Oryctolagus cuniculus: one gene and its partners. The protein of the gene in region 5 purifies or fractionates together with the protein of the main gene of each other region. This does not show direct contact. Links are inferred from orthologs where the notes say so. Each region holds a gene or a part of one and is shown on either strand. Other genes may lie near its edges. The genes, in order: NCBP3, RNPS1, RBM25, SF3B1, PRPF40A and SNRNP70.

Evidence for each region.
Region 1: the proteins of PRPF40A (region 5) and NCBP3 purify together in Homo sapiens (affinity purification with mass spectrometry; 3 studies listed by BioGRID and IntAct, counting the BioPlex papers as one, with this or other methods). This does not show direct contact. The link is inferred for Oryctolagus cuniculus from reciprocal best matches to the Homo sapiens genes PRPF40A and NCBP3.
Region 2: the proteins of PRPF40A (region 5) and RNPS1 purify together in Homo sapiens (affinity purification with mass spectrometry; 4 studies listed by BioGRID and IntAct, counting the BioPlex papers as one, with this or other methods). This does not show direct contact. The link is inferred for Oryctolagus cuniculus from reciprocal best matches to the Homo sapiens genes PRPF40A and RNPS1.
Region 3: the proteins of PRPF40A (region 5) and RBM25 purify together in Homo sapiens (affinity purification with mass spectrometry; 5 studies listed by BioGRID and IntAct, with this or other methods). This does not show direct contact. The link is inferred for Oryctolagus cuniculus from reciprocal best matches to the Homo sapiens genes PRPF40A and RBM25.
Region 4: the proteins of PRPF40A (region 5) and SF3B1 purify together in Homo sapiens (co-immunoprecipitation; 3 studies listed by BioGRID and IntAct, with this or other methods). This does not show direct contact. The link is inferred for Oryctolagus cuniculus from reciprocal best matches to the Homo sapiens genes PRPF40A and SF3B1.
Region 6: the proteins of PRPF40A (region 5) and SNRNP70 fractionate together in Homo sapiens (co-fractionation; 3 studies listed by BioGRID, with this or other methods). This does not show direct contact. The link is inferred for Oryctolagus cuniculus from reciprocal best matches to the Homo sapiens genes PRPF40A and SNRNP70.

The regions. Positions count from the first base shown.
Region 1 is NC_091448.1:49,093,509-49,097,008, reverse strand, and holds part of NCBP3 (nuclear cap-binding protein subunit 3), read left to right. Parts: intron 1-1,266; coding exon 1,267-1,395; intron 1,396-1,616; coding exon 1,617-1,693; intron 1,694-2,331; coding exon 2,332-2,440; intron 2,441-3,500. UniProt on the Homo sapiens protein: Associates with NCBP1/CBP80 to form an alternative cap-binding complex (CBC) which plays a key role in mRNA export. NCBP3 serves as adapter protein linking the capped RNAs (m7GpppG-capped RNA) to NCBP1/CBP80.
Region 2 is NC_091450.1:33,008,948-33,012,993, forward strand, and holds the start of RNPS1 (RNA-binding protein with serine-rich domain 1), read left to right. Parts: upstream 1-1,246; 5' UTR 1,247-1,357; coding exon of another isoform or gene 1,358-1,359; intron 1,360-1,384; exon of another isoform or gene 1,385-1,822; intron 1,823-2,081; exon of another isoform or gene 2,082-3,533; intron 3,534-3,801; 5' UTR 3,802-3,917; coding exon 3,918-3,988; intron 3,989-4,046. UniProt on the Homo sapiens protein: Part of pre- and post-splicing multiprotein mRNP complexes. Auxiliary component of the splicing-dependent multiprotein exon junction complex (EJC) deposited at splice junction on mRNAs.
Region 3 is NC_091451.1:19,255,732-19,259,231, forward strand, and holds part of RBM25 (RNA-binding protein 25), read left to right. Parts: intron 1-1,108; coding exon 1,109-1,331; intron 1,332-1,442; coding exon 1,443-1,532; intron 1,533-3,500. UniProt on the Homo sapiens protein: RNA-binding protein that acts as a regulator of alternative pre-mRNA splicing. Involved in apoptotic cell death through the regulation of the apoptotic factor BCL2L1 isoform expression.
Region 4 is NC_091434.1:42,821,141-42,825,394, forward strand, and holds the start of SF3B1 (splicing factor 3B subunit 1), read left to right. Parts: upstream 1-1,454; 5' UTR 1,455-1,469; coding exon 1,470-1,521; intron 1,522-1,722; coding exon 1,723-1,899; intron 1,900-4,254. UniProt on the Homo sapiens protein: Component of the 17S U2 SnRNP complex of the spliceosome, a large ribonucleoprotein complex that removes introns from transcribed pre-mRNAs.
Region 5 is NC_091434.1:89,171,337-89,175,593, forward strand, and holds the start of PRPF40A (pre-mRNA-processing factor 40 homolog A), read left to right. Parts: upstream 1-1,457; 5' UTR 1,458-1,665; coding exon 1,666-1,875; intron 1,876-2,913; coding exon 2,914-3,045; intron 3,046-4,257. Other genes in the region: ARL6IP6 (ADP-ribosylation factor-like protein 6-interacting protein 6), read right to left, coding at 127-526.
Region 6 is NC_091449.1:8,216,266-8,219,765, reverse strand, and holds part of SNRNP70 (U1 small nuclear ribonucleoprotein 70 kDa), read left to right. Parts: intron 1-2,794; coding exon 2,795-2,859; intron 2,860-3,003; coding exon 3,004-3,066; intron 3,067-3,500. UniProt on the Homo sapiens protein: Component of the spliceosomal U1 snRNP, which is essential for recognition of the pre-mRNA 5' splice-site and the subsequent assembly of the spliceosome. SNRNP70 binds to the loop I region of U1-snRNA.

The DNA of each region.
Region 1 (3,500 bases), on a different chromosome or scaffold from region 5:
CTTCAACCTGGCCTAGCCCTGACTGTTGAGGCCATATGGGGAGTAAGCCAGCAGGTGGAAGATCTCTCTCTTGTCTCTTCTCTTTCTCTGTAACTCTGTCTTTCAAATAAATAAATTTTTTAAAAAGACATTTAAAAATAGATTATTTTTTTTTAAGATTTATTTATTTATTTGAAAGACAGAGTTGCAGAGAGGTAGAGAGAGAGAGAGAGAGATCTTTCATCTGTTGGTTCACTCCCCAGATGGCCACAGTGGCTGGAGCTGTGCCTGTCTAGAGCCAGGAGCTTCTTCCAGGTCTCCCACACGGGTGCAGGTGCCCAAGGACTTGGCCATCTTCCACTGCTTTCTCAGGCCATAGCAGAGAGCTGGATCGGAAATGGAGCTGCAGGGACTCGAACCTGCACCCATATGGGATGCCAGCACTGCAGGCAGCAGCTTTACCTACTATGCACAGTGCTGGCCCCAATAGATTATTTTTAAAAAACAGACTGTGCTACTACTGTCTACTCTCTACACTTGTTTCCTTCCTTCCTTCCTTTTTTTTTTTTTTTTTTTCCAGATAGAGTTAGACAGTGAGAGAGAGAGACAGAGAGAAAGGTCTTCCCAAATGGCTGCCACGGCCGGCACAGCCAGGAGCCAGGTGCTTCTCCTGGTCTCCCATGGGGTGCAGGGCCCAAGCACTTGGGCCATCCTCCACTGCCTTCCCGGGCCACAGCAGAGAGCTGGCCTGGAAGAGGGGCAACCGGGTCAGAATCCGGCACCCCAACCGGGACTAGAACCCGGTGTGCCGGCACCACAGGCGGAGGATTAGCCTAGTGAGCCGCGGCGCCAGCGTCTACACTTGTGTTCATTTTTTGGTGTGTATGTTGACTGATGGCAGTCTGTAGCTGGATGAGACCGCAACAGTGAATTTGATCTGCTTTCCAGAAATAAAACCAGGGCTGACACTGTGGCATAGCAGGTAAAACCACTGCCTGCAGTGTTGGGAACCCACATGGGTGTTGGTTTGAGTCCTGGCTGTTCCGCTTCTGATCCAACTCCCTGTTAATGCTCCTGGGAGAGCAGTGGAAGGTGGCCCAAGTGTTGGGGCTCCTGGCTCCTGGTCACCCCAGCTATGGCCATTTGGGGAGTGAACCAGGGGGTGAAAGATCTCACTGTCTCTCCCTCTCTCTGTAGCTCTGCCTTTCAAATGAACAGATAAATCTTTTAAAAAGGAAAATAACCATTTGGGCACAATGTGATATTTTATTTTACATTTTATTTTAGGTAATGTGGTTTGGCTAGATGAAATGACAGCCACACGAGCCCTTATTAATATGAGTTCTCTGCCAGCCCAGGATAAGATAAGAAGCAGGGACGCCAGTGAAGACAAGTCATCTGAGAAAAGTAAGAAAGGTAACTGAGCACAAAGGTGGGACCTGTGGCCTAAAAGTCCTGTTTTGCACAGTCTTGTTTTGGGCTTTGGGTTACAGAGCAGAGCATTGAAACATCCCGTCAATGAGTGTGTCTGATGTTAGCTTGAATGCTTTGGACCCTCAGTAGAAAGGATGTTCCTTTACCATGATATAAGATGGACTGACACTAAGGTTCATCGTCTTCCTCACATTCCATTTTAGATAAGCAGGAGGACAGCTCAGATGATGATGAGGCTGAAGAAGGAGAAGTTGAAGATGAAAACCCAAGTGACGCAGAGGTTAGTAATAGGGCGAAATAATGTGTAAGGTTTTATTGTGAAAGTTTCTTACTGTGCTAGCTTTTACCATAAAACCTTTTGGGGGTGCATCAGGCTCTTGGCCTTTAAAATAACTGTAACAGTTCATCTTGAGATCTAGAGTAGTGCTCACACTTCTGTGTCAAAGAAAATGGCTTTATTGAGAAGTACTTTAAAGTATTTCATCATTAAGTGATGGTATATTTACTAATGATTTGTATACTATTGTTGGAAATATTTGAATATTCATTTCTAAAGTATTTGCCAAGTTCCTACTGTATACCAAGTTCTAGGTGCTAAAGATATGGAATGAAGCAAAACAAAGCTCATTACCCTCTCAGAACCTACTTTCTGGTGGGAAGTTGGACAGTGCACAGGTCCTTAGATGATGGACCGTCAGGAGGGAGTGAGTGCAGTGCAGAAAAGGGAGGGTGGGGGCAGAGGATGATGGGACTGTTGCTTTAGACAAGGTGGTGTGGGAAGCCTCTGACCTGGAAATTCTGCAGAGGAACTGGTGCTGCAACGCTGATGGATTCAGTGCTGTCTTGATGGTAATTTAGCTACTAAGGAAATACTAGTGACTAATTTTTATGTTGAAAATGTGTTTCTCTTTTGTTAAGTTGGACACATTGTCTCAGGTAGAAGAAGAGTCTCTGTTAAGAAACGATCTTCGTCCAGCTAACAAACTAGCTAAAGGAAATAGATTGTTCATGAGATTTGCTACAAAAGGTAAATTTGATACTGATTTTTACTTTTAATCAAATGATTAATGATTGAATGGCGTCTTTCTCTTCTGATTAGACGTTAGGTCAGGTCATCTCAAAATTCCCTTAAAAGTGTGATATTCTGTGCTGATGAAATAACAGCTTGCTGCCTGAGTAGGAATTTGTGCCTTTGAAAGTGAAAGTTAATTGTGTATTTTCGTGACTTCTGGCTGAAGTAGATTATTTCTGTTAAAGCTGGTTTACTCTAAATGCTTCTTAGCCAGTTACCATCTGAACTTTGAAAACTTTAAAATTAGACTTTGTAAATTTTTTTTGAAAGATTTATTTATTTATTGGGGGGCTGGTGCCATGGCTCCCTTGGCTAATCCTCTGCCTGTGGCACCGGCATCCCATATGGGCACTGGGTTCTAGTCCCAGTTCCTCCTCTTCCAGTCCAGCTCTCTGCTGTGGCCCGGGAGGGCAGGGGAGGATGGCCCAAGTGCTTGGGCCCCTGAACCTGCATGGGAGACCAGGAGGAAGCACCTGGCTCTTGGCTTCGGATCGGCATAGCTCCAGCCATAGCGGCCATCTAGGGGGTGAACCAACAGAGGGAAGACCTTTGTCTCTGTCTCTCTCTCTCACTGTCTTTAACTCTACCTGTCAAAAAAAAAAAAAAAAAAAAAAGATTGATTTATTTATTTGAACGTCAGAATTACACAGAGAGAGGAGAGGCAGAGAGAGAGAGAGGTCTTCCATCTGCTGGTTCACTCCCCAGATGGCCGCAATGGACAGAGCTGTGCTGATCTGAAGCCAGGAGCCAGGAGCTTCTTTTGGGTCTCCCACATGGGTGCAGGGGCCCAAGGACTTGGGCTATCTTCCATTGCTTTCCCAGACCACAGCAGAGAGCTGGATTGGAAGTGGAGCAGCCGGAACTAGAACCGGCACACATATGGGATGCTGGTGCTTCAGGCTGGGGCGTTAACCTGCTGTGCCACAGCGCCAGCCCAGACTGTAAATTTTTTTTTTTTTTTTTTTTTTTTTTTTTTTAGTAAAAGGCAAAAGATTTATTCGATCTGAAGAGAAAC
Region 2 (4,046 bases), on a different chromosome or scaffold from region 5:
ACAGGCACAGGTTCTGAGCCCGGGCCCTGGGGGCCAAGGCCTCCTCCAGACGGCCCATGGCCAACACCACCCCCGCCAGGGGCTGCCCTCCTCTGCCCCTGAAGGCGTGCAGAGAACTGAACCTCCCGCCTGTCCCTCGAATGTGTCCAGACTGGACGGGCTGCCAACCCCGCCCCAGGGCAGCACACGCCGGAGGCTTCTGTGCCCAACTCCCTGGACACCCCTCGGCCCCGGGTGAAGGGTGAGGGCAGGGTGACCCTCCTGGATGGGGAAGGGAGTCTCACGCGCCGGCAGACCCCGACCGCTGCCCCCCTCGGCCCCGGGTGAAGGGTGAGGGCAGGGGGACCCTCCTGGATGGGGAAGGGAGTCTCACGCGCCGCAGACCCCGACCGCTGCCCCCCTCGGCCCCGGGTGAAGGGTGAGGGCAGGGGGACCCTCCTGGATGGGGAAGGGAGTCTCACGTGCCGCAGACCCCGACCGCTGCCCCCCTCGGCCCCGGGTGAAGGGTGAGGGCAGGGGGACCCTCCTGGATGGGGGAGTCTCACGCGCCCGCAGACCCCGGCCGCTGCCCTCCTCGGCCGCAGGTGAAGGGTGAGGGCGGGGTGACCCTCCTGGATGGGGAAGGAGTCTCACGCGCCGGCAGACCCCGACCGCTCTAGCGCTCCCCCCACCCTCCCGCACCCGGGCTGCCTCTCCGACTGCCCGCTGGTTGCTTTCTGCAAGGCCCTGGCTTGCACCCGCTGCTCCCCCCAGCCCTCCTGGCTGCCAGCTGGGGCGAGGGCGCCGTCCTTCCTTCCGCAATCCCACAGAAGCCCCCTCCCCAGCCCTCCCCACTCGCCGCTCCTGCCAGGCGGCTCCGACCGCGCCTCCCGGGCCTTCGCGCCCGCCGCTCCCTCTGCAGCAGTGGGGTTTGACCGCACTAACCCACGTCCTGCGCCGGCCCATCCCTCCGAGCCCTCTAGGCCGGCCTTGGAGAGGCTACCGCCCAGAAGACCCCCGGGCGAGAAGACCCGCCGCCCCCAGTGCGCACGCGCTCGCAGAGGCGCGGCCTCGTCAGCCCCGTCCGTGCCGGCCCCGGGGCCCCGGCAAGTCGCCATGCCCGCTCCGGGAGCTCCGGAAAGGGGCTGCCCAGGGCCGAGAGCCCTCTTGACCGGGGAGACACAGCCAGCGACCCTCACGGCGCTCCCCACCCTCGTCCGCTGCCCCGAACGCTCCGCAGCTCGCGCCCATTGGCTGAGGCGTTTTCGTCATCGCTGTGCGCCGCACGGCGGCACGTTCCCGCGCCTTCGCTCTGACGACAGAAAAGCGCCGGCCTCGGCGGCTGAGGAGAGCGGGAGGAGGTGGCGGCGGCGGGAAGATGTAAGTTGGGGGCGGAATCCGACCGCATCCGAGCTGCAGGGGCCGCCCGCCAGGCCGGGAGGGTCGCATCGTGCAGCCAGCCGGCTTCTCAGCCCCGCGATGGCGCGGCGGCCGGGCGGCGCGGCACGGAACTCGGAAAGAAAGAATGTGGCCCGGGGCGGCGGAGTGGGAGGCGTCGAGGCCGCGGCCCGGAAGTGGTCGGGGCCGCCGCCGACGGAAGAGCCGCCCGGCTGGGTCCGCTCCGCGGCGGCGCTCCTGCGGGCTGGGGAGCCGGGCCCTCCCTGCGAGCGCGGGGGGCGGCGGGGCCGCTGTGTGGGACGCCCGGGAAGGCGGCGCGCGCTGCCCGAGGGGCGGCTCCAGCGCTGCCGGCGGGTCCCGGCGCCGTGGCGAGGTCGGGCCGGCGCGGCGCGGGGCCGCCTGCCGCCGTGCTGTTGGCGTGGACCGTGCGTGAGGCCCAGCTCCGGTGCGGGGAGGGGCCCCTTCTGCTCGAGACGTGACTAACTGTTCTCTCCTCTCTCTGGCTGTTGGACGCGCACCTTCCGGAGGACGGGGGCGGTCACCAAGGTCCCGCGCCGGGCCCTGGACTTGTGGACAGAGAACCTCAACCTTTGCTTTCTAGCTGCCGACCGCGCCCGGCAGAGCGAGCGCGCCCCCCGTGGCTCTTCGGTGTTCGTCCCGAGGACACCGGCGGGGCTCGTCCTCGGGCGGGGCGGGGCGGGGCGGGGGTCGCCGCCCTGGCCAGCGAGGTGGCCGCTGCTCACGGGGCCCGCGGCGCAGCCAGCCCGGGCTGGGGTTCAAAGGACGACTCGGAGGGGAAAACGGGAAATGCAGTTCCCGCTGGGTGTGGGGTGTCCAGTGTTTTCTAAGTGGATTTACCTGGTTTGTGACGGCGCTACAAGGCAGTTCCAGGTTACTCCTGGCGCGCTCGGTAGTGGCCGTGCTGCCCCGAGTGATCCCACGGTGGGGCCCACGGACACTGTTGAATTCAGGAATTGGGAGTGTGTGGAACTTCGGAAAATTCATGGAAAGGGGAGTTAAAAGATAGATTTTGGTGCAAAAAAATGAAACCTACGCATGTTCTTTGCAGATAGGTATTTTCCATGACCTTTCTGAGGCTCCCGGTGCGGGGAGGAGAGCCTCTGGAAACAGCCCTTTTCATGTTACTTCTGTTGGGCCTCAACCAGGTGCGGGGTCTGTTTCGTGAGTTCATTGGTTACTGCCTTTGAAAATGCTGGAAGGGGGGTTGTTGTCACCGCATTGCTGGTAACAAACTGGCGACCAGAGGCCTTAGAGAGGACAGTGGCTGCTGAGGGTCCACAGCGAGGCCGGGGCTCTTGGCTGAGTTACACCCAGGGGTTGTCCCAGGACACCAGCCTGACCGGGTGTCCGTGGTCCCTTATGGTTTGGAGGCAGCCATTCTGAAGAGGGCAGCCTTGGCAAGGAGCTGCCCGGGGATCCTCTGCCCTCTGCCGCTCGTTGGAGTGTCCACAGCCGGCCCTCGTATTTCCTGGGTCAGAACGTGGATCGGCATCACGTGGAAGCGCCTGCCCAGCTGCGGGGCTGCGGCCGCGCGGTGTGCGGTGGGATGAGCAGCCGCGCCTGCTCACAGGTCACGCGGTTGTGCAGAACCTCGTGGAAAGCCTGGGTGAGAGATGAGCGGTTTTGAGTAACTGGTTAACGTGACTGCTCACCGTGTGCTGGCGTCAGGCACCTGGCCAGCCCTTAAATGAAGTGGAGCATCTCGCCCAGTTTCAAGTGTCAGCTTCCCCCCGCACACACACTTGCGTCTTTTTAAAAGTTCTAACCATACAGAAAAATTGAAGTAATGTTTAATGCTCAGTAGCCACCACTGGGGCTCTGCGGTCCCTCTGTTGGGTTTCTTGGCGCGTGTGGAGCCACCATCTCGTTTTTTCTTTAAATCACAGCCTCGTGCGAATCTTTCCCCCTGCACACGTCGTGCTTAGCACTACAGTTTGCTATTGACAACTTGAGAATCGCTTTCACTACTCTCTAAGTGTTCGTGCTTGGGTAGTAAATGTTTTGGTGCTGATACCAACCACTTCTGAAACGATGTTTGTCTCCAGTCGTAATCCAGTGTGTCCTGGAGGGGAACCACAGCAGAGACGAGGCCTGATCCGCCAGCCACACTCGCGTTAGGCTTCCCTGTCCTCCTCGTGAGTGTGCTGCTGAGGGCCCGTCACCCTTAACGAAACTCTAGGATAAAGCGACGGGGACCACCCGCCGCCTCAGGGAGGAGCTGGGTGCCGGCTTGACCTGTGCCCCGTGGGGAAGTGGTGGCTGCCCCGCATGCCCTGGTCCTGTGGGTACCTGCTGCTTGCTGTGTTCCTGACTGCCTTCGTGTGTGCTCAGCTTTGTACTGCAAAGTTAATTTGTTGCCTTGCCAATTCGTTCACTCTCTACATCCTTTTATCTTGTTATTAGGCTGCTCTTTGGCGTAAATTGCAATCGATTAGGGACCGTTTCTCAGAGTCGAGTTAGAAGTGAGAGCTCAGATAAGTGAGGCCGCCATTGCCGCTTTGAACACCTCAGAAGGGAGGATGGATTTATCAGGAGTGAAAAAGAAGAGCTTGCTAGGAGTCAAAGAAAATAATAAAAAGTCCAGCACTAGGTAATCCTCCTGCCAGATTTTTCTAGTGCTACATCGGGGGTGCTCACCGCTAGGGACC
Region 3 (3,500 bases), on a different chromosome or scaffold from region 5:
ACGAAGCACAGGAGAGCAGGAGGAAAGAGAAGAAGACTCATCCTTTTTATAGACTAATTTTAAAATACACATACTGTTTTGCAGTTTCTTAGAAACTTGGATTTCTACTTTTGCTCCATCTACTGTGTTGCTGGAACTGGAAGTCCAGTGCTCAGTCTTCAGTGGGCGTTAAAATTCCTTTCTTTCTTCCTGTCCTGATAAAGCTGTTACTGAGAATTTAACCAGGGTGTAATTTTTTTGTTTCAATGAACTGTATTATTTCATATGTATACTTATGTTTAATTAAGTATACTTTTTAGTATTAATATATATTCTGCAATTTTTTTTTTGACAGGCAGAGTGGACAGTGAGAGAGAGAGACAGAGAGAAAGGTCTTTCTTTGCCTTTGGTTCATCCTCTAATGGCTGCTGCGGCCGGCTCGCTGCGGCCGGCACACCGTGCTGATCAAAGGCAGGAGCCAGGTGCTTCTCCTGTCTCCCATGGGTGCAGGGCCCAAGCACTGGGGCCAGCCTCCACTGTACTCCTGGGCCACAGCAGGGAGCTGGCCTGGAAGAGGGGCAACCGGGGCAGAATCCGGCACCCCGACTGGGACTAGAACCCAGTGTGCCAGCGCCGCAAGGCAGAGGATTAGCCTATTGAGCCGCGGCGCCGGCCTGCAATTTTGTTTTATTACTCTGAATTAAATATTTGAGAACTTTCCTAGCAAGCCAAAATTCTATTTCTTGATTTCTATATTACTTGATCACTAATGAGGTTGATTTTTGTTTTGAGGTTGATTATTTTCAACATGCTTATTAGTCTTGTAGTTTTGAGGAGAATTAGCAATTTGTTTTTTCCTGTTGTACACTGTTATGTAATTAGTTGGGATTTCAATTTACTGTAGGGCATTCTTTAATCCTTTAAATATATTTAGGTTTGTTTTCTGATACACAATTAACTGTAACATTGACTTCAGAGCATAGTTCAGGATTTGAGGCTGGGCCCACAGTCTCTCTCTGATGAGTATAGAAGTGCTTCCAGTAGTGCTTTGTGGTGTGTGTATCCCCTCTTTCCTGTGTGTCTAGAGGAGCACAAAGACTGACTGAGTTAAAATCTTCTGTTTACATAGAGAAAAGAGCAGAGATCGTGAAAGGGAACGAGAGCGGGAACGGGAGAGAGAACGGGAACGAGAGCGGGAGCGAGAACGAGAGCGAGAGAGAGAGCGAGAGCGGGAACGGGAGCGTGAGAGAGAGAAAGACAAGAAACGGGACCGAGAAGAAGACGAGGAAGATGCATATGAACGAAGAAAACTTGAAAGAAAACTCCGAGAGAAAGAAGCCGCTTATCAAGAGGTAAATTGAGGAAGTGATTTTAGTTTTAAATCCTGGTGCACTTAGGTAAGTTAAAATTTGTAGAACTATAGAATCATTGTATGAAGTGCTAAAGCATGGGATCTTTTTTAGCGCCTTAAGAATTGGGAAATCAGAGAACGGAAGAAAACTCGAGAATATGAAAAGGAGGCTGAAAGAGAAGAAGAAAGGAGAAGAGAAATGGTAAGTTCTAGATTAAAAATAAATTTAAAAATCTGATCACCTTGTTACTCTGAACTACAGATAACTTTATAATTGATAGAGGCTTCTCAGTTGTTAGGTAATTTAATTCTATTCAATTTCAAGCAATATTGAGACAATTTAAGTACACAAAAATATTTCTTACAAATGTTTGCTTTTAAATTTTTTATATATTTTGATAGGAAATGTGTCATAAATGAATATAATTCATAAATTTATACAGTATTCTTCTATTAAGAAATCTACAAGGAACTGGCATTGTGATGATGCAGCAGATTAAGCTGCTACTTGGGTTTCCTACCTCCCACCTCCCGTATTGTTGCAGGTTTGAGTCCTGGCTACTTTTCCAATGCACTATCAAGCTAAAGCAAGCTCTTTTTTTAAGATTTATTTTATTTATTTGGCAGAATTAGAGAGAGAGAGATCTTCCATCCGCTGGCTCACTCCCCAAATGGCCTCAGCGGCCAGAGCCTAGCAGATCTGGAGCCAGGAGCTTCCCCTGGGGTCTCTCAATTGGATGCAGGGGCCCAAGGACTTGGACCATCTTGTACTGTTTACCCAGGCCATAGCTGAGAGCTGGATCAAAAATGGAGAGCCGGAACTCAAACCAGTGTCCATATAGCTCTGGCCCTGACTCAGGCTCTTTTATAAGGTTGCAGATAAAATCCATCAGAGTTCTCATGTATTACAGTGCCAGTGTGAGTCTTGGCTGTTCTGCTTCTGATTCAGTTTCCTGCTATTGTCCCTGGGAAAGCCAGGATTGATGGTTCAAGTACTTTGACTGTTGTCACTCTCATAGGCGACCAGGATGGAATTCCATGCTTCTGCCTTTGGCCTCTCTCAACCCCAGATGTAGGCATTTGGGGAGTGAACCAATGGATGGAAGATCTCTGTCTGTCTGTCTCCCATTTCTCTATTGTGGGGAGCAACTCGGACTAGACTAAGTTACTGGAATTAAGACTTATTCTATGCATCTGCTCTCCCACAATATGGCGCTGAGAAGGGAGTAACAGCTTCTACACAGCTGCCTCCAGTTCAACCAATAAACTGTAGGACTTGCTCCTGATTGGAGAGCAGCGTACTCGGCGTGTGGGTAGCAGAGTTGGGATTGGTGGAAGAGGACTATAAAGGAGGAGAGAGACAACATGCACCAGGAACATCTATCTGAAGGAACACCTGTGCAGCCCCCGAGAGAGCCGGCCGGCGGTGTGCCGCTCCCCTGCGGAAGTGGGGAAAGTGGCAGGGGGAACCGCCCTTCCACGGAGGTGGAAGGGTCAGTAGCCAACCCGGGAAGAACCAGCAGCAATCCCGGGGAGGGCCGAGCAGACAAAAGAACAGCACAGGGTCCTGTGTCGTTCCTCCACGAAGAGGGGGAGCGACATAATGGTGCCGTGACTCAGATGTGAAGCCTAGGCAGGGTTTAGTGTCGTTCCTCCGCGAAGACGGGGAGCGACATAATGGTGCCGTGACTCGGATATGAAGCCTAGGCAGGGTTTAGTGTCGTTCCTCCACGAAGAGGGGGAGCGACATCTATCCCTCCCTCGCTCTCTCCATCCATCTCTTTATCTCTGCTTTTCCAGCAAATAAAATCAATAACAGTTAAGAGAATTTGGGGCCGGCACTGTTGCTCCCTTGGTTAATCCTCCGTCTGCGGCTCTGGCATCCCATATGGGGACCAGGTTCTAGTCCCAGTTGCTCCTCTTCCAGTCCAACTCTCTGCTGTGGCCTGGGAAGGCAGTGGAGGATGGCCCAAGTGCTTGGGCCCTGCAGCTGCGTGGGAGATCAGGAAGAAGTACCTGGCTCCTGGCTTTGCATCGATGTAGCTTTGGCTGTAGCGGCCATTTTGGGGGTGAACCAACGGAAGGAAGACCGTTCTCTCCGTCTCTCACTGTCTAACTCTATCAAGTAAATTAAAAAAAAAAAAAAAATCTGCAAAGTTAGTTTTTTTAA
Region 4 (4,254 bases), about 46 Mb from region 5:
TGAGGCAAAAAGCTTGATGTTCTTTTGATTTTTTTTTTGTTTAGCAGGTTTTTTTTTTTAAGATTTATTTATTTTATTTGAAAGTCAGAGTTACACAGAGTGAGAAGGAGATGCAGAGAGAAAAAGAGGTTTTCCATCTGCTGGTTCACTCTCCAACTGGCAAAAATGGCCTGAGTTGTGCTGATCTGAAGCTAGGAGCCAGGAACTTCCTCTAGATCCTCTCACGCAGGTGTAGGAGCCCAAGCACTTGGGCCATCTTCTACTGCTTTCCCAGGTCATAGCAGAGAGCTGGATTGGAAGTGGAGCAGCTGGGACTGGAACTTGTGCCCTAGTGGGATGCCGGCACTGCAGGCAGCAGCTTTACGCTTTGATAAGCCACAGCAAGGGCCCCTCAATAATTTGCATAACAATCTTTCTTATCCTGACCCCACATTCCCTATTAGATTAACTTCTTTTTTAAAAATTTTATTATTTATTTGAAAGTCACAGTTACACAGAGAGAGGAAAGGCAGAGACAGAGAGGTCTTACATTGATAGTTCACTCCCCAGATGGCTGCAATGGCTGTGCAAAGCCAGGAGCCAGGAGCTTCTTCCAGGTCTCCCATGCAGGTGCAGGGGCCCCAGCACTTGGGCCATCTTCTACTGCTTTCCCAAGCCATAGCAGAGAGCTGGATAGGAAGAGGAGCAGCAGGGACTGGAACCAGCACCCAAGTGGGATGCCAGTGCTTCAGGCTAGGGCGTTAACCTGCTGGGCCACAGTGTAGTCCCCCCTATTAGATTAACTTCTGTTTGAACTAATAAAGAGATGGAAATTAAACATCTGAAGTTTTAAACTTATTAAATCGATTATTTCACAGATGCTGATAAAAATCCTATGTGTTACTGAAGTTTCCACTAAGTATTTATTCAGACTGTGTCTATCAAACAGCAAGCTAACCTTCTGCTGGCTCTAACCTTGATCCCTACCTGTTTACCTAGGCTGCTTCCTAGACCCAACCTCCCTCCTTAGTTCTTCTGTTTTTTTCAACCCCAAAGTCCAAAAATAGTGTCAAGTTATGACAGCATAATTCATATCTAAGCATAAAGAACACCACTGTATTCTGACTTACTAAAGTTCCTGATTTAGGAGTAACATTTAGGGCAATTGTATTCTAAGAACCTATAAAGTGAAAAAGCTTTATAATGGTGACAGCATTCAAGTTGTGCAATTTGGTAACTGTGTGACTTTGCACAATTTACATATCTCCCCATTCTAATTTTTTTTGTCTTCAATGGTATTAGCAATAGCTTGCCTATTTTACTGGACTATTTGTGAAGTAGTTTGGCAACGTCAGTTGGAAACGAAACTCCTATAGAGACAGCAGGCAATTATTGAGAAAAGGGCAGCAGGAAAAATGACCTTGAAAGTTAGCGTGAGGTGTGAGACTGTTAAGACTGTCTCCTTAGCTAAGCACGGCAACAGCTGAAACATGCTAAGAAAGCTTTTCTCCAGCCCCGAGACGCCTTTGAATTTGGACAAAGGTAATTGAAAGGCTGAGGTCTCTTCCAGCTCCGAACCCATAGTTTCCCACAGGGTCTGTTCTTATCCACCACCGAGTAATCTACCCACTCACTGCCTCCCTCACCCCCAGGCAGAGTTTTCCCGGGTCACAAACTAAGACCCGCCCCCGGACTAATCCCGGTTCCTCCCACACCCACAATGCACCTCGCGATTCCATCTAGGTGGCTGCTCTGTCACGTGTCATTCGACGGAGCGCGCTCCCGCTTGGCGCACGCGCAGAGAGCAGTCCCAGCTATTTTTCTCCGTGGCGGCGGCGACGAGCGGAAGTGCTTGGGAGCGCCAGTTCCGTCTGTGTGTTCGAGTGGACAAAATGGCGAAGATCGCCAAGACTCACGAAGGTAAGCAGGCTCTCCCGTTTACGTGCCCTCTCTGCCGCCATCCTGCTAAGACTGCCTTTCCGAGCCTCTGACGCTCCTTTAGTTTTTTTGTAGGGGCCGAGTCCGCGCTTTGGGGGTCTGAGGCGTCTCCTCGGCGCTAGCGGCGCAGCCCACTGCCCCGCGTAATGGCGTCCTACTCGTACACCCACGACAGGCGCTTTGTTCCGTGTTTGAATGCAGCTGCTTGAGGGTTTCTTCTCTTCCCTGACCAGAAGCCTCGTTTAAGCGGGTGGCTAAGGAGGATTCCAGGCCGACGGATAGGGGAAGCGTGGGAGGAGAGTCCCGCTCACCTCTTGGTACTGTGGTCGGCATAGTTTGTGCAGGGAGTCAGGAAAGCGCTGAAATAGGCAGCCGCTTTTCGGGGAATGTTAAACCGAGGCCGCAGACTCCTAACCCTGGGTAAAATGTGTGTCTTCAGGTGTCTGGGTTACTTGATTATTTTTCTTGGAAGAAATGATCCGGTGTTTTTTGCCTTCCTTAATAATTTATAGTATATTTATCTTTTTCTTTGGTGGCTGATTATTGGAGGAGCATGTGCAAAAGGAAAGTCATATTATATTGGCTGGTGACCGAAGTTTTGAAGATAGTTGATCCTTTTCTAGTATACAGGGTATACAAAATTAGGCGAATGTTGGGAGTAGAGTGAAATCCATTAGGGAGTGTCCAGAGAATAGGAAGTGGGGATTGGGAATTTAGAACTGCACTCCTTGATTTGGCTTTGGATCCAAAATTTACACTGTACACAAGGCTTTCAAGATGACTTTTATTTCATGTCGTTATTTATGTATGTCGTTTCTTGGTGTGTGGTTTGGTATTGGTCTGTGAGAGGTAAGCGACTCAGAGGCCATCAAACATTCTAGTGTGATGGGGTACACTGACACGTATTTATCTGAATTTTCTTAAGAGGCCAGATGACTGCTTAGATAGAAATGTAAGCAGTGTGTTCTGCGAACTTGGGTAGGAGTGATGGATTTATGGTTAGGGCTGTTTTCACAGAAGAGGTGACGTGTCCCCAGTCTTGAAAGGATCAGTCAGTTTTAAATTAGAGGAGGACGTGTGAACCTGAGAGAACTGTTAACAAGGCAGTGCGTCTGAAAAGTATGTTGGAGAAGTCTGCAGTGGCAGGAAAAGAGGTGCAAAGGGGAAGTAGAAGATGAATCTGGAAAGGTTGGTTAGGACCAGAATGTGGATGGAACTGAGGCTCAATGCTTTCTAAGCCCAGAACTGTTCTTAGGCCTTAATCCTTTGTTTTTAGACTATCTCAAAATACCTTTTGCAAAATAACCAGAAAATATAAAGATGTTGCAAGTTTTGTTCATTCAGGAGTAGATTACTCATTTGGGGGTCACTTAGCAGCGTTGATTGCTTATTTATTGGTATCTTCAATATCTCATAACCTTGGTCAGGAAAATCAAAAATTGCAGTTGGTTTTCCTGCATGTTAGAAACCCAGCTAAAAGGCCTTTTGATTGCAAATCGTTGTTTTATTTGAGATTATGCTATCAATGTAAATTAAGTAATGCCTTAAAGAAAATAGTGGAAAATTTGGTATAACATCTGAGTACTTTCTGTGAAAATTATCACTGTGTGTGATAAGTTGCAGGGTGATAACTGTTAAATAGAAATACAGTATTTGCATAGCTTCTCGCTCTCTTCCTTGTGGTATTTTTCTGCAGAACTCTAGTTCTTTGTGCTTTAGCTATTTTCACTTGTCAAGCGATTTCTTATAAGCTGGAAATTAGTTTCTTTTGGGGTTGGGGTGTGCTATTGTAGTATTCAATATATTTGTATTATTTCACTTAGGATAGTTTTTCTATTAAAGTTTTCTCATACTTTGAGGTTGTTTACAGGAATTCTATCTTAGAATACCCAGTAGGTGCATTATGTATGCTTAAATATTTAATCAACATTGAAAGATACATACTGGAAGTATTAAAAGAGTTTCACAAACAAAAGGTACTTAATTGATCTTTGAAAGTTTGTGTTGGCTTGACTATATGTATTTGGGTGAGATAGATGGGGAAGCAAGACTTTACACTTTGGGAACTTCCTCAACTGAGAGGATGAAATATTAGGTTAGTGTCATCGTGGAAGGCTTCCCACCAGTGGCCACAGATACTGGCTCTTTCCTCCAGGTCATATTATTTCTGTGTTTTGGGAAGGTCACAGGTTGTAGTGTGAAGGATGACCTGGAGTCAGCAACCATTCTTAGGCTATTGAAATAGAGAGGATGACTTAGATTGAATCCCACTGGCGTGGCCTTTAAAAATATGTAATATTTATTTTTGTTTCAAGTAAAAAGATTATACAATATTTA
Region 5 (4,257 bases):
ACGCGGCTGCCTGCCTGCCTGCCTGCCTGCTCTGGGGACGGCGGGGGCTGAGGGCTGGACGGAAGCGAGAGCCACACCCGGGCCCATCTGAACTCTGGGCAGACTCTTCGGCCCGGGCTGCGATACCTTTTACGACCAGGTAGACGATGGCGAGCAGAAAGGCGAGGAGGATGGCGAACAGCAGCGCACACAGAATAGAAAGGACCTGAACCGGCCACTGCCGAGCCGAGGTTCGGCTTCCCGCAGCAGCCGGGAAGATGCCGTTGCGCTTCTCCGGCAGCACCGGCGACCCATCTCCATCTGGCGGGAACAGAGAACCTCTCCTGGACTCCGACGACGGCCCAGCCGAGAACTCTGCCCGCAAGTCGCGGGCCACTTGGGTGCATCCCTCCTCGTCGTCGACTTCGCCCACACCCCAGCTGTCCCCCTGAGAGAAGGCGGAGTACTGCGGCGCCGCGAAGGGCACCGGCGTGCCGAGGCGGCGGCGGCGCGGCGCAGAACGCCTCCCGCTCTCCACAAAAGACATGGCGGGAAAGACGGCGAGAACCGCCGAGGTCCAACGTCTCTCACTGGCCCCGCCCCGCGACCGCAACAGCCAATCAGCGGCAGGGCCCCGCTGCGGCCTCCACCACCCGGCCAGGCGCGCAGGGGTGCGAGAGGGTGGGCGGCGGCGCCGAGAGGGAGCAGAGGGCTCGCCGGAGAGGCTGGGCGCCTCGCGGCCGCGGGCCGATTCCGGGACAGCAGGCGAGAGCGGGCGCAGGGAAGCGTGCAGGGACAGGCAAGCCGAGGCCCCAAATAGCCGAGTTGCCTCTCCCCAGCGTGCTTAGTCCCGGCCACCGGCGCGTCGCCACCCAGGCAAGCGCGTGCCCCAGCAGCCCCACAGTCAACACCGGGTCCTAAAGCTCGCCCAGGCCCTTCCGATACACATTCAAGAGCCTGCGTGCTTTTCCCCCTCTACGCTCACACTGCTCCCCAGTCTGCTCCTCCTAACCCGTCGCTTTGCCTCGGGAGTCCATCCCGCTCTCGGCGTGTTTCTCCCCACCCACAACTTCCCTCCCAGCGACTCGGCGCGCTCTGCGCCGCTGCAGGCAGAGCTCCCTTGCTCTGGACGCCTCTTCGCTAGCCCGTCCCTCCCCGCCCCTTCGCCTCCCACACAGCGCGCGCACTGGCGCGCATCCTGCCCCAGCTACCGCTAACGCTGGAAGCTGCTTACCCCGCCCCCACCCCACTCCACCCCACCCCACCCTACCCTCTTGGGGGCGGCCGCAGGTTTGTGGCGCGTACGTAACTCGGGCGGGGGAGATGGTGAAGGCGGCGGGCCCCAATACCCCACCCCTACGCAGTGAGGCTTTTGGAGCTCAGGGAAGATAGGGCACGGTAGTCTTCCTCCGCCGAAAGGAAGTTGGTAGAGTTTTCCAGTCAAAGGACTCGACGCGGAAACTTCCTCTTGTCCCTCCTCTTCCCCCCCTTCCCGTGCACGGGACGCCGAGTGAGGCTGAGGCTCAGAGCCAATCGCCGCAGAAGTGCGAGTCGGCGGCGCACTGCGATTGGACAGCGGAGAAGCCTGTCATTTTATTGGCCCCGCTGAGCCCGCCCCATAGCTCAGGGCATCCTTTAACCTTTGGCCCCAGCGGGCGCCAGCCACTCAGATCGCTTCTTGTTGGTATGTGTAGCGGCAGTGGCCGCCGGCCGAGCAGTCTGAGCCCGACGATGAGGCCGGGGACGGGAGCCGAGCGTGGAGGCCTCATGGTGAGTGAAATGGAGAACCAACCTCCCTCGCGGGGTCCTGGGGACGGGGAGCCGAGATTGTCCGGCTCCAACCTCTGCTCCAGCTCTTGGGTTTCCGCTGACGGCTTCCTGAGGAGACGGCCCTCGGTAAGGGATCGGTGGTGTAGGGGGAAAGCGGCACAATGAAAAACGGAGGCAGACAGGAAGCGTACTCCGAAAGGAGAAGAGTGGAGTGGACGAAGGAAGAACTCCAGATGGTGGGCTATGTCCCGAGGGAGAGAGACGCAGGGCAGGGCTGCACAAAGAGAAGTATGTGGGACCTTTGAAGTTCCCAGTGGGCTTGGCCTAGACAGATGCGCGGTGAAGGTGCTGGCAGGCCTTGGGCGGGGCGAGCGTCTCGGAGCCGAAGGCCTGGTTTAGCAGAGGCTTGATGTCGCTAAGACTGCAAGAAGCTGATTTGTTTGCACGCGTAGTGGTGGTGGTCTGCGGCGGGAGGAGGGGGTCTCTGGGATAATTGGCTGGGGAGAATTCCCTGGTTTAAAAGCCAGGAACAATGGACACATAGGAAGAAAGTAGTGCGTTAAATGCGCAGTGAAATAGTTGACTTGGTTGTTTGCATTTAGTGTCTGTGAGTGACAGAAACTTAAGTTTTCGGAGATGTGTTTTCGGGAGAGGAACTTTTACCTGTGCTGAAGCTTAGGTTAGGAAATAGTATGTTAGGCATGAAGTGGCTCTGACAACCCATCCTGTGCATTCTGTTAAGACAGGTTTGCCTCGAAGTGAATTTGACAAATTCAAAGTCTTTGAAGTGTCAAATTAGTGGCATTGTAAAATGACAGCTGGCTTTTTTTTTTTATATCTATGTAAAACAGGATAAAGATGTGATTTTTTTGACCATAACTTTCTAAGTAAGCATTGAATATGTATTTTCCAAAACCAGCAAGCAATTCGGTAGATGATTGAATCAGTGCTTAGTGAAGGGGGGTGGGGGGACCAAGCTGATTCAACCCTCCAGGATCATTTTTCACCTTTTCCACATTGTTATGGAATGTGCAAGTTCATTATACTACAGTCATGCATCCCACAGTAGCCTAATATAGGCCACTACAGGTAAGAGATTTCTTGAAATGAGATTGCTGAGATGCTTATTAACTTGGTAATTTTCAAATGCTCATTATTTTTCAGATGGGGCACCCTGGCATGCATTATGCCCCAATGGGAATGCACCCTATGGGTCAGAGAGCAAATATGCCTCCTGTACCTCATGGAATGATGCCACAAATGATGCCCCCTATGGGAGGGCCACCAATGGGACAAGTAAGAACGTTATGTTTTTGTTTTGTTTCCTATTTGTTGGTGCTTTTTTGCCTCAGGTATTGTGTCGACATTTTAGAATTTTAAATCAGTGCCGTACTTGTAGCTGGTTGAGGATTAATTTATGCCCAGATAAAGTTTTCAGATAAAAATGTTGCATCAAGACTGTAATCAAATTTTGAATGTAATGAAAAAGTATTCTGTATCAAAAAATTACTACCTCAACAAAATTTAAGAGTTTTTTTTCCTAAGTAACTGTGTATCTAGGCTTTTTATTTAATGTCCTTTTCTCTCTTGAGCATGTCAATTGGAGTTAACTTTTTAAGAGTAAATATTGTATGAAATGTCAACATAACTTATTTCAATGGACTATGTAAGTGTATAGACTCTGAAAATAGCGATTGTTTAGGCCTTTGACTTGGAATGAATTTTACTGCTTAATATCTTCTCCTTTGTCTGTTGTGGGGTGGTGAGGGAGGGTTGGGAAATTTGCTCTGTAATTCTGATTCTTCATAGAGCAGTGTCAGGTAGTTCGTTTTCAACTTATACTGTTTTTGGTTTTTAAAAAAATGCTTTTTGCTTCTGCACTCCTACTTTTGAGCTGTCCCTTCCATCTCTAACATAAATTGTAAATGGATTGTTTTGTAGGAGTGATTTAGAGCAAAAGGTTTATGCTGACTCAGCAGCATCCGTAGACCTAAGTTAGTTAGCTTGATTTAGTAGAACTAAGTTTCTAGAGAAGCATCCAATAAAGGTAACAGGTTTAGTTACCATGAATAATTTTGTGCTTTATGTTATTAGGTTCTTTAATACACACTCTTTAGGTTGTTGGGTCATTTCTATTTGAGTATCTCAGTAAATCAGCAACAGCTTAGGCTAACAAGAGTATTTTGGAAAGCCAGTAGGTATGATCTTTTGTTGATTAGTATTATTTGATATGTAAGTATTTAAGCCTTGATGGTTAGAGTTATTGGTGAAACTGCAGTGAAAAAAGGAGCATGTTATGTGTCTCTCTCTTTTTACTTAACCTTACAAGGAGAAGGGCTCAATATCAAGTGGTTTTCTTCTTTTTTATTTGGAATATAGCCCTAAATTTTGTGTAAAAATCTTTATTCATAGGCACCAGATCCAAAAGATTCTGCCAGCAGGAGTTCTTTAAATAAGACTCTTTTATTCTGTTACTCTAGAATAACACAGGTTTTAACACTCCCTAGG
Region 6 (3,500 bases), on a different chromosome or scaffold from region 5:
TTTCTGGAGGCTTGTCAGAGTCTGCTCAGAGAGCAAGCGTTCTGTGATGCTGCCTCAGCCGTCTGAAAGCCACAGAGCTTTCCCAACTCCCCAGTCCACTCCTGTGGCCCCTGCCTTGGGCCAGTGCCCAGATAAGCCCTTTAGCCAAGGATTGCTAATGGTAGGGTGAGAAGCAGAGGGGGAGCAGAGTGCGCCTGTGTGCACACACAGGCTGGGCTTCTGGCCAACCTCTCTGCTACCTTCTCAGTTATGATTTTTTTTTGCATTTTTAATTATTTATTACAGAGGGAGGGAGGGAGAGAGAGAGCAAGGTCTTCCATTCAGTGGATCATTGCTCAGTTGGCTACAGTGGCCAGGGCTGGGCCAGGCCGAAGCCAGGAGTTAGGAGCTGCATCTGGGTCTCCCATGTGGATGGCAGGTGTTTGATCAGTCTTGAGCTGCATGGAAGTGGGGCAGCTGGAACTCCAACTAGCACGTACAGGGGGTGCAGGCGTCCCAGGCCTGGCTCTCCTGCTGTGCCGTTACGCAGGCCTGTGTGTCTGTTTGCTATGTGAAAAGCACAGTGACGGGGGTCTTCTGTTTCGTTCGCAGCTTCTAGGGCTAGACCAGGCCAAAGGCAGGAGCCTGGAGCCCCACCCAGGTTCCCACATGGGTGGCAGGAGCTTGAGTACTCTGTCTCTCTTTGTAATATTTTAAACAAATCTTTTAAAAATTAGTAATCACTTTTTAAGTGGATGATGAGTGAGCTGGTAGAGATGGAGGGATTTGAGCATGGAGAATCACAAGTGTTGCAGGGACACAAAGGATTATCTTGGAGTTTCCGTAAGTCCTGCAGGTCGTCCTTGACACTTGGCCCGGTTTACGTTCTTGGAGGATTTCCTTCATGACTTCAGTCTATGACTTCAGTCTGCGCTGGGCCTCCTGCAGGGAGCTCTGCCCTGGCGCGTTGCCCCCACTGTGCAGTCTGAGGCTCCCGTGGGAGGCAGGAGCCATTGTGTTGACGTCACCGACTTTGGGCATCAAATCTCCTGCAGAGTTTTTTTTCCTTGTAATTATTTTCACTCCTTTTTATTTTATTTTATTTTTAAAGATTTATTTTATTTATTTGAAAGACAGTTATAGGCCGGCGCCACAGCTCAACAGGCTAATCCTCCGCCTAGCGGCGCTGGCACACCGAGTTCTAGTCCCGGTCGGGGCGCCGGATTCTGTCCCGGTTGCCCCTCTTCCAGGCCAGCTCTCTGCTGTGGCCAGGGAGTGCAGTGGAGGATGGCCCAAGTGCTTGGGCCCTGCACCCCATGGGAGACCAGGAGAAACACCTGGCTCCTGGCTTCGCATCAGCATGGTGCGCCAGCCGCGGTGGCCATTGGAGGGTGAACCAACGGCAAAGGAAGACCTTTCTCTGTGTCTCTCTCTCTATCTACTCTGCCTGTCAAAAAAAATAAAAAAAAAAAAAAAAAAAGGTAAGAAAGACAGTTATATAGTGAGATCTTTAATCTGCTGGTTTACTCCCTAAGTGGCCAGAGCTGGGCTGGTCCAAAACCAGGAGCTTCTAGGTATTTCACGTGGGTGCAGGGACCTAAGCACTTGGGCCATTTTCCACTGCTTTTCCAGGTGTGTTAGCAAGGAGCTGGTTGGGAAATGGAGCAGCCAGGACTCGAACTGGCGCCCACATGGAATGCCGGTGTTGTAGGCGGTGGCCTTGTCCACTGTGCTGCTAGGAAACAACACCGACCCCATTTTCACTATGTTTTAAAGGCAAAGAGATCTTTTGTTTGCTGGTTCTTGCCCCAAATGCCTGTAATATCTGGGGCTAAGCCAGGCCAAAGCTGGGAGCCCAGAACTCAGTCTGGAAACTGTGTGGGTAGCACCGGGTTCAGCCACTTGAGCTGTCACTGCTGCCTCTCAGGGTGTGTGTTAGCAGGAAGCTGGGTCAGAAACGGAGTAGCCAGGAGTGGAGCCAGGCACTCTTGATAAGGGATGCAGGTTTCCCAGTGGCAACGCAGTCACTGTGTAACACCCATTCACCTCCGAACTGAGGTTCAGTACGTGCCTGGCTGCTTGCTTTCTCTTTTTTCTTTTTCTTTCTTTCTTCTTTTTTTTTTTTTACATTTATTTATATGAAAGAGTTCCAGAGAGGCAGAGAGAGAGGGATCTTCCATCTGCTGGTTCACTCCCCAGATGGCTGCAACAGCTGGAGCTGCGCCTATCCGAAGCCAGGCGCTTCTTCCAGGTCTCCCACACGGGTGCAGGGGCCCAAGGATTTGGGCCATCTTCTTCTGCTTTCCCAGGCCATAACAGCTGGATAGAAGTGGAGCAGCTGGGACGCAAACTGGCGCCCATGTGGGATGCCGGCCCCTCTGGCTGCTCCTTTAAGGGTGGCTCCCCGGTGGCCAGGTGGGACAGTGTCAGGGCTAGGGTCGGTGTCGGGTGTGGTGACAGCTCTTCTCACTGGCTCCTCCTAGTGGCCACAGCGCATTGAGGGAAGCAGGGCTTGGACTGCCCTCCTGGGGCTCCCTGGGGCTGCAGCTGTAGTGTGTCCAGTGGGCAGTGCAGGCCCACGTGACAGCTCAGCTGGGTTATGGCTGCCTCTGCCGAGAAGCCCCCTGGGATCCCCTGGTCCCTTAGGGCTTGCTGGTCTGCAGCGGCTGTTAGACCTAGTGTGAAGGAAGCCGGACCTGTGGTGTGGCTATCTCCGTCTACGAGTGCTGTGCTGCAGAGACGCAGCGCAGCAGCGCCCCTCGCTGGTGCCAGGTCGCTGCCGGTGTCCTGCTTACAGAGTGTTCTTCCTGCACAGGGGACCCTCACAATGATCCCAACGCTCAGGGGGACGCCTTCAAGACCCTCTTTGTGGCGAGAGTGGTGAGTCCCCAGCTCCTGGCCCGGGAACCCCAGGCTGCTGACAGGCTGGGTCTGGGGAAAAGGACGGCAGGGTAGTGCTGGGGGTGCTCCCGGGCTCTGGACAGCTCCCTCCGCCCACTCACCTTCCTGTTTGTCTCCTTGTAGAACTACGACACGACAGAATCCAAGCTCCGGAGAGAGTTTGAGGTGTATGGGCCCATCAAGAGAGTAAGTGCCGGCCGGGGTGCCTACAGGAGGGGACAGTGGCCTGGGAGGGAGCAGGCTGGGTTCCAGTCCTGAAAGTGCCTCAGATCGTCCTGGCACCTGACTGCGCTTCCGGGGGCCATGGAATTGGGGAGCAGGAGTAAAAGTCAGGCCTGCTCGCTGAGCGGAGGCAGCAGAGCACACCGACATCTGTCAGTGAGGCCGTCGGTGCACAGGCAGGCCCGTGCGTCCACACGTTGTCTGGCTGCTATTGCGGAAGACCAAGTTGTGTGACCTCAACCGGAGCTGTACTTCCTGGGTCATTACAGGAAATGCGCGCAGCTCCTGCTGTAGAGCAAGGCTTCAGACTTAGTTGCATTTCTTCATTTAATTTAAAAACCACTTGAGTGCTCTTTGTTGCCATGATGAAGTACCTGACACTTAACAGAGGGGGGGAC